Kluyveromyces lactis: one gene and its partners. The protein of the gene in region 2 interacts with the protein of the main gene of each other region in a pairwise test. Links are inferred from orthologs where the notes say so. Each region holds a gene or a part of one and is shown on either strand. Other genes may lie near its edges. The genes, in order: MEX67, RAD51 and ATP11.

Evidence for each region.
Region 1: the proteins of RAD51 (region 2) and MEX67 interact in a two-hybrid assay, tested with the Schizosaccharomyces pombe proteins (2 studies listed by BioGRID). The link is inferred for Kluyveromyces lactis from reciprocal best matches to the Schizosaccharomyces pombe genes rad51 and mex67.
Region 3: the proteins of RAD51 (region 2) and ATP11 interact in a two-hybrid assay, tested with the Schizosaccharomyces pombe proteins (2 studies listed by BioGRID). The link is inferred for Kluyveromyces lactis from reciprocal best matches to the Schizosaccharomyces pombe genes rad51 and atp11.

The regions. Positions count from the first base shown.
Region 1 is NC_006039.1:845,797-849,563, forward strand, and holds MEX67 (Mex67p), read right to left. Parts: upstream 2,273-3,767; coding exon 506-2,272; downstream 1-505. Other genes in the region: OSW1 (Osw1p), read right to left, coding at 1-183; protein-transporting protein SEC63, read left to right, coding at 2,845-3,767. UniProt on the Schizosaccharomyces pombe protein: Involved in the export of mRNA from the nucleus to the cytoplasm.
Region 2 is NC_006041.1:1,798,394-1,801,046, reverse strand, and holds RAD51 (recombinase RAD51), read right to left. Parts: upstream 1,717-2,653; coding exon 607-1,716; downstream 1-606. Other genes in the region: Arf family guanine nucleotide exchange factor YEL1, read left to right, coding at 2,624-2,653. UniProt on the Schizosaccharomyces pombe protein: Required both for recombination and for the repair of DNA damage caused by X-rays. Binds to single and double-stranded DNA, in the presence of magnesium, and exhibits DNA-dependent ATPase activity.
Region 3 is NC_006041.1:652,864-655,389, forward strand, and holds ATP11 (Atp11p), read right to left. Parts: upstream 1,571-2,526; coding exon 614-1,570; downstream 1-613. Other genes in the region: prephenate dehydratase PHA2, read right to left, coding at 1-227; DAL82 (Dal82p), read left to right, coding at 1,927-2,526. UniProt on the Schizosaccharomyces pombe protein: Essential for the assembly of the mitochondrial F1-F0 complex. May interact with the alpha and/or beta subunits of F1-ATPase.

The DNA of each region.
Region 1 (3,767 bases), on a different chromosome or scaffold from region 2:
AAGATTAGCAATACGGTCTATTGGGATTGCAGATCTCTGATTTGTATTCCTTGAGCTCTTCTTCAACTTGTGTAGGTTCCATCGCCTTTTCAATCTTTTCAAAGTGACACAATTATGCACCTTATTAAATAACCTTCTAAATCGATTATATTTTGATTGGCGAGGTTCTGGTATCGATCTCATTTAATGTAGTTATATTGCCTTGGAATAGTGAGTTTTCAGCAAAACTGTAGTGAGCTTATAATCACAATTTGTAATTTGCTTAAGAGTTCATTGGCTAGTATAATGTTCTGAATGTTAGGCCCTTTTTTTATTGACGTACACTTTGTGACAAACAGGATATATGATAAAAAATAGTCACAGAGTCAAGTCACCTTGAATCCAACTGATATAAATAGATGGATATACTTAGTTTAATTTATTTGTGTGAGATGCAACTATATATTATACTGAATGAATTAAGATGTTCTTTTTTAAAGAAGCGCACATGATTAGCTCAATACTTTTAGATGAATGCCTCTCTGGGTAGATTGTTTGCACTGTTTCTAAATCCTTGGATAGCATTATCATAGTTCCAAAGACTTTGCTCGGCAAGCATATAAGTGTACTCAGCGTTAAGCTTTGTTTCAAGGTGTAACTTCTGAAGTAGTTCTAATTGTACAGGTGACAATTTTGCTTGCACTTCCGGTGAGAATTGCAAAGGTGTCGATCCAAGAACTCCCGGGATTTGGCCAGGAATGGATGATGTATTTGGCGGAGTTTGTGAGAGGGGCACGTTCATTTGTGGCTGATGTTGCACAGATTGAGCTTGGAGATGTGGTGGAGAAGGTGGTTTAGACCAAGCGCTATCACAGAATGGCCTTATCGTCAACGAATCAGATGCAATGATGACACTACCATTTGGACTTGGAACTAAGACCATTGTTCTATCGAAGGATTTCTGTGAAAGTTTGATGTTCGGCGTAGACGTAAATCCATGGTTGTATCTCCTTCCTCTAGAGGCAGATGATCCTTGTGATGTTTTGCTCTTGTCAATTTCAGGTTTGGCAGTTTCATCGAAATGGCCATGAAGAGTGATAACAAACCCTTGAACTTGTGGGAAGGTCCAGGCTTGCACAGAGTAAGCATCAGGTTGTTCTTGCAAAAAATGTTTTGTCATAGGGAGAGATCCGAACACTTCATAAATTGCTTCGGGCCCTATACGTAACCGTTCTTGGATGGTCTTGTCGCTAGATATCTTGGAAATGTTTCTTGAAAATGGTAAGTAATGACCGAATGTAGGAGTCGTTTGAGCATTAGGTACAGTAGCAGCTGGAACGGAAGAATCAACACTTAAGGAAAATTGAGACTGTGGAGTGTACAAACCCATCAATTGCATTCTATTCGAATCCCACAAGTTCAAGAAGTTGGTAATAAAATCTGTTGACGATGATGCCAATCCATTATCTTCGAAAAAGAACTGGGTTTGTTGTACCGGTAAGCTATAGATAGACAGTAGTTTCTGCTCGTCACGAACGACAACGTTATCTAGAATCACCAATTTGGGGAATATCCTTAACATTTCTGTACGATATAAACGATCCGATGTAATTGGATTATTCATCATCAGAAGCTCCCTCAACTCTTTGAATTTATTCTTCCAAACTTCAAGAGAATGGAATCGACTAATACTATTATTGGCGATGCATAGGTTTTTCAAATGAGGGAAAGTCTGTGCCAACGTGGTAACACCATTGACGTCTCTCAAATTATTATCAGATAGGTTGATCGATTCAACAACCATGCTAGGCTCCTTTGAAGCCACTTTCATCATAGCCGGGAACATCTTGGACTGCGTATTAACATTTTTCGGAGCCATACCGCGTTGCACCAACTCCGGATCATTGAACAAATTACCAAGATCCAACATCCTCGTTTGCACATTATATCTTCTCAAAAGCACATTACGAAGAACGGTTATCGTATCATTCGTATTAGGGTTTGTGTTCCCACCGGCTGCCTTGTGAATCTTCAATGAATTGCCTGCAAACCGGTACCCACTAAATTTCACCAATTGATCTGCCTCCTGCGGTGTCACATAACCAACTATAGTGTCCCCTTGAACCACAGAGTTTCTCACTGAGATCCTGGTCTTTCTCGAAATGAAATTCAACAAATCCTGTTGAGTAGCGTTAGTCCATCCACGAATGCTAACGCTGACTAAGTTATCCAATTGGTTTTGCTGTGCCAAAGCACCAATCTGATTCACGTTACCAAAACCACTAACTTGCATCACTCTAGTAACGCTATATCACAAGACTTTTCTCAACCAAATCGGTTAACCCGGTGAGCCTCATCTTTCAATCTCTATTCCCATCTCAATTACCAATGAGACTAGCACATTTTTTGATTATTTCTAGGTTTTTAGCATTTTTTTTTTTAATTTTATTCTTCAGTTTAGTAGAAAGAGATGATCGACCAAATCGAAACAGAAAATTCAAGGTCATGTGATATATTACGAGCACGTGACGTATAAATATCTTTTTTTTTTTTGGTCTTTCTCTTCTATTTGTTCTTCTAAGCTCTGCCGTATTGAATACGTATAGTGTTTCAAACAGAAGGAAAAAAACCCAAAGGTTTTTGGAAAATACAGACTGGCATATTAAAATCGAAATAAGTTAACTGTTAACTACTTTTCTAGATCAGAGGAATAATTGTTTGCAGTTTGAAGGCTTTTTTGTTTAATAGTACACTGTGGTTCACTTTTTTTGATTGCTGCCTGCTGTGTGTTTTATTGTAGCGGCTTAATTTATTGGCAGTCTTTTGGTTCTACAACAGACAAGCAGACGAACAGACAACGACGCCATGCCGCAGAATTATGATTACGATGAGGCAAGCACCACATGGCCATTTTTCGTACTCACGGTGTTATTTGTGGCTGTTACACCGGTAACATTGATTGAGCTGTATAGATTGATTGTTGGGGACTCCAGCGATAAGAGTTCTTCATCAGAATGGAGTCAATTGCACGAAAAATATACTTCAGAAGAAGTTCGGAAATATAGACTTGCTAATAAGAAGAAAAGGTCCAAGAAGGGAATTTACTTCATTACCGTTGGTTGGGTGCTCATTTCGATGTTGATTTATCATATTCGTTCCAACGATGCTATCTATCAGATTGCAGCAGCGGCTTTTGATCCATATGAGTTACTTGGTGTGACGCTTTCGTCTACCGATAAAGAGATCAAGTCTGCATACAGGAAATTATCTGTCAAATTCCATCCCGATAAGCTTTCCAAGGACCTAAATGAGATTGAAAGAACGGCTATGGAGGAACAGTTCGTGATGATTAACAAGGCTTATAAGGCTTTAACTGATGAAATTACGAAGGAAAATTATAGAAAGTATGGTCATCCAGATGGTCCTCAATCTACTTCTCACGGTATCGCTTTGCCCAAGTTCTTGGTGGAAGGAGGTACTTCCCCATTTGTTGTTTTTGCATATTTCATTCTACTTGCGTTTGTGTTACCCATGGTAGTTTCTAAATGGTGGAGCACTTCGCAAGAGTACACAAAACACGGTATTCATTCTGAAACAGCATCTCACTTCGTTGACAAAATGTTCAACTTCAAACCATCTTATGTTGTTGTGCCAGACTTAATCATTAAATGGATCTCTGAAGCAAAAGAATTCCAATTGAAATTCCCAGAATTGTCTTCCGTGGACATCGCTAACATTATCCATTCCCATGTTAACCGTGAAAAGACTGAAAACGAATATGCAAGGAA
Region 2 (2,653 bases):
GAGTCGTACTTAAAACCCCAAATAACAGAGTGCCTAGTGACAAGTCTAATATATCGGTAGCACGCTTCTCCGCTCTGTCCCTCCTGTTTCTTGCCAGAATATGTTCTCTCGCAAACCTTTGTTTTACAAAGTTAACGTGTTTTATATAGAAATGCAAAATTACTCTTTCTTGTCTATATGTGGAAATGGTGAAATTTCCAAAAATTTCGCTTCAGATTGTTGACGTTCGGAATTCCGGTGTGATGAGGTAAAGAATATTAAAAGAAGTCAAGCCTATTAATAGCACACTGACATGGAGAAGTGTTTGTAGCTATGATATGCAAGTCCCTTAAATGAAAGGATAGTCGTCCCTTTTCGCTGAGGGAATTATATGCGTTTTATGCGAGCATTTAACAACTAGAGAGGGTTTGCATGAATATACATATAGAATAACGTGCCCTATGGACTATTTATAACACGAATGATATGAACAAATAAATGAGAAGATAGATACGCAGTGGGGTTTTACTAGCAACGTAGGAAATTGAATGCTATATTAAAAATGTGGATTTTTCTTTTTATTCTTTTTTTTTTGGTGTTATGAATAACCAGGTAAAGAGAATCAGATCAATCATCGTCTTCCCTTGGATCTCCGATACCATCCTCGTAGATCGCAAACACACATTCTGCTTCAGGCAAACATGGTGAGTCTACCACTTTACAGTATCTCTGTGGACCTTTCCCCTTCTTGAATCCAAGACGAGTAGTGGAGGAATGAGCCATGATATTACCACCAATCGGTTTTTTTGGATCAGGGTTAAACATCATTCCTCCGTCAACTTGGGCCACAACCTGATTTGTCACTACCGCTGCGACACCAAACTGATCAGCTAGTCTTTGTAATGATCTCATGAACTTGGCAAGGTGCATCTGTCTTGCACTTAACTCACCACGTCCCGAGAAGTCGGTTCTGTACAATGCCATAATAGAATCGACAATAATCAGCGAAAATCTTGACTCACTCATCATCTGTGCAGCTGCGTCCAACAATTTCAATTGATGGTCTGCGTTATAAGCTCTTGCATATGCAACGTTATTTAAAGCATCGTCAGGGTCCAAACCGAACCTCTGCGCAATCGAAACCAACCTAATCGGTCTGAATGTACCCTCCGTATCAATGTACAAACACTTGCCTTCACCGCCTCCCATATCCAAAGGTATCTGGCATGTGACAGCCAATGTATGGCAAAGTTGCGATTTACCAGTTCTAAACTCACCAAACAGTTCAGTGATAGATCCGGTTTCTATCCCTCCGCCAAGTAGAGTATCAAGATTTTTCGATCCAGTAGTTAAACAGATCATTTCGTTTCTACGCAAATGAAAATCAGCCGCAGTGACAAAACCCATAGGCACTAGTCTCGACGCTTCAGCGAGTAACTTATCAGCTTTAGCCTCTGATATACCTTTAATCTCCATTAAATCTTTTCTGGGGGCATATGCCACCGCCTCCGCTGTGTGTAACCCACTTTCTCTTAGTTTCTTGATATCACCAGAAGTGATACCGTTCACCTGCAATTTCTCTATTGGGACAAAGGCGGCTAGAGCCACATCGTCTTCTTCAGCCATAAAATCCGTTTCCTGAATTCTTTGCTGAACATCTTCCATCTGTTCTTCGGTTCGTGAGACCATCAACTGAGAATGGCCCTGAGTAGTCTGAACTTCTTCCACCTGTGACATTTCTAATTCTGTGGAGTCAATTTAGCCTGGTTCAAGCGACCTTATAACCACTACAATACCCTTTCACAACTAGGATAGAAAACTGCTTCTCCCAAGAAAAGTGAACGTAATTGATTAATGATGTCTCATGTAATGTAATTAATAATTAAATTATATAGCCTTTTTCGTGTTTTGGTGTTTTGTTTTTTTTATTCAAATTTCAAACCAAAACAAATTAAAATGGTAAACAGTCCCTGAAGAGTGTTTATTTACATGGCACGTGACTCTTCAGTCACATGTCATATTGCGGTGGGTGGTGGATCAAGAAAGATTATCTCATCATGGTCCTCCCCATCATGACCATCACCGGAACTGAGTTCGAAAGGTTTAAGTGTAACACATGCAGTGCATTGCTTGTTCTGTCTTCCATCTTTTCTACATAGTACTGATAAATATAAAGTAGTGAGCCATATATGTTTGTAGAAAGCCATATTACTTGCAGTGTTATCATGTACAATAGATGTTGATCTTTGTCTCACTGCGTCTTTCCTTAGCGGCTTTTCTTAGCGGCTTTACTTTTATATCAGAATTAGGCAATAATATGAAAAGAAATATCGAAATTGTTGCCAAAATGAAATCTTAAAAGGAATTTTAAAATGGCCAACCGTTACATCAGGCACTATTAAACAGCGATAGATTTGATCGCCAAGTTCTCAAGAACGTCTTATTAATAAGTTCAGCCTTTCTGTCTCGGATATTTTTTTGTGGGGGAATCCTTGAATTCTTCGCTGACCGCTTGAACCTTGGCTTCTACCTTGGATAGAGAAGAATTGAAAGGTGTTTTGCGTATGTCAAAGGGCTTTAAGCAGAGGATTATACATAGTGTAGGGATAGAATCACATACAGAAAATTGCCATAATTGCCATCGATGGGTGCGTTTATAACTCCTAATAAGAAC
Region 3 (2,526 bases), about 1.1 Mb from region 2:
AAATCTGCTTGCATAAAATCTCTGAAAAGATCGTACGTGAAAACAACTTGACCGTTGGTGGAGTTTTCGAGAGGAACTACCCCGTAGTCCATATCTATGTCTGAAATGAGCTTTTCGAAACATGCAGGGATAGATGTCACCGGTATTAGCTCCTCGTTTGGAAATTGTTGGAGTGCTGCTTGATGTGAATATGTTCCCACAGGGCCCAAGAACAATACTTTCGCCATTATAAATGTAGTAGAAGTAAAACAAGGAGATATTCCAACTTCCAGCAAACAGTGTACAATGTGCAACTACTGTCGGGGCTTTGTACTGTTTGAGCAGAACGAATTCAATCGATTCTACTCATAGGTTGGGTCATCGATGCATCCATATGCTCGTAGCACTTCTGGACCACACTTAGTCATAGTGGTGAAATTCATTTTGATGAAGTACACGTGACTAAGAAGAAAGCCATTCCAACGCATGCTGCCCAACCTCGAACCACAGCCTGCTGCTACTCAAAACCGCATGCTGTTAGCATAGATCGAGTATGATGGAATGTTTTCTTTATACAAGCGACATGTATATATATATGTATATAAATATATATAAATGTATTAGGAATCTTCCACTACTCCATAACTTGAGAAAGAGCAACTAATAGATCAACATTGAAGTTTGGAGATCCGTTGGTAAAATCCTTCAAAAGTTGGACCCTCTTTTGGGCAAACCCGGAGTCTTGTCCCATAGCACCATAGAATCTTTGAACGTTCAAAAGCAATAGTTGAGATTCTGGTAGGGAAACATTAGAATCAGATTCAACTTGGCCGTTCATCAATACAATGTTCTTTTCCTTGGCCAAATCCAAGTGGAACTGTAGAGTAGTATGAGGTCTTGCAAATTCTTTGTGCAATTTATACTCTGCTAGAGTAGTCATAATACAGTGGACGGTTTTAGGTCCTACAAATTGCCACTGAATGTAATGCATTTCCATGGCCGGTTCTTGTTTCTCTGCAGATTCAGCAGCAGTTTCTTCAACTGCACGCTCTCTTGGCAAAGGGATAACGAAGAATGGGTTTTCTTTGGCTAAGGCACTGATCTTTTCCCAGATATCGATTGGAACAACAGCGTTCAATACATTGTCCTTATTGGCCCATCTGGCTCTCCAAAGAAATTCGCATTCTTGTTTAGAGAGGTTTTTCACTTTTTCCACATCCAAAAAGCTGTCCAAAGTCTTAAACGGCTGTTTTGGCATAGATGGATCAATCGGACCACGGGACTTAGCAATGTTAGATGACATTTTGGTTCTTTGTTCGTAGTCTTCCAATTCTTTCAGTGGATCAATTCTGTTTAACTCGAGTTTCTTCTTTTCAATTTCTTCTTTCAAAGAATTCTTAAGTTCCTCAATGCTATTAAAACCTTGTTCGCGAGCCTTGTCCAAAAGCTTGTCCTTGTACTGTTGTTCTAATGAATCAGTAGAGTAACTAGAGTTTGATTGGATTGATGACGCACCAATAATACGTTTGAATTGCGTAGCAGATAGTTGCGAGGCCGATCTTTTAACAACACGGGTCCAGCTTTTTATCATGTGTCCGAAAAATTACCTGGATAGATTCACAAGTTGTGTTGATAGGTATCCTCTTTCAACTAGTGAACTTACTCTCTACAGTAACCTATTTCCAGTGAATTCTTCCGTATCTCATTAAAGTTGGTAATAGTAACTTTGTTCCAATATCACTTTTCATAACTTTTAAAGAAAAAGGTAAATTCTAATCAGCGTATACCGGTTCAGATAAGATACATGCAAGAAGAAATTGAGAGGATGAGAAATATGAGTTAGGTGTGACTTGAAACAGTATATTGTCACACTGAATTGCGGTGTGAAGTTATCACACCTTGATACTTCCCTTTTCTGCTACTTTTTAATATCGAAATCTAACCTACATGTCACACATATATTCGCATTCTAATTTGGATGAACTCTTGGTGTCTCTTTTGGGAGAATACAAGCCACATCTTCAAACACATAGCCATAGGATGAAATCATGGAACACTTTGCTCAAGGAGTTTAATAGGCGATCTGGATTAAATTACAGGCAAACTAGGACATTGAAAAGGAGGTTTGATAAGCTTTGTTCTGTTTATCTTAAATATGGTAGCGTGAAGGTAACGAATTTCGAAACCTTCAAACAGTTGGTATTTGAATTCGAGCATGAACGTCAAAAATCTGATAGTACTGCCACTGAATCAAGTAACGCTCTAAGCATGCTGGCGCGAAGATTGGCGGAGACCGGAGAACTGGTCAATTCGAACTCAGACATTGGTGACGATGATGTGTTGGAGGATGATTTGGAAGAGGAAAGGCGGTATGGCGATGAAGCTGACGTTGATAATGGACCGCAGCCTATTTCAGTACCTAGTACAGCTAACTTAGAACCAGCAGAAATAATTTTGGATGATAATGATGATGATCGAACACCTCTTGATTCCATAACGATATTACCACATACTCAAATGAACCGCCTTAGACACCAACAATTACAG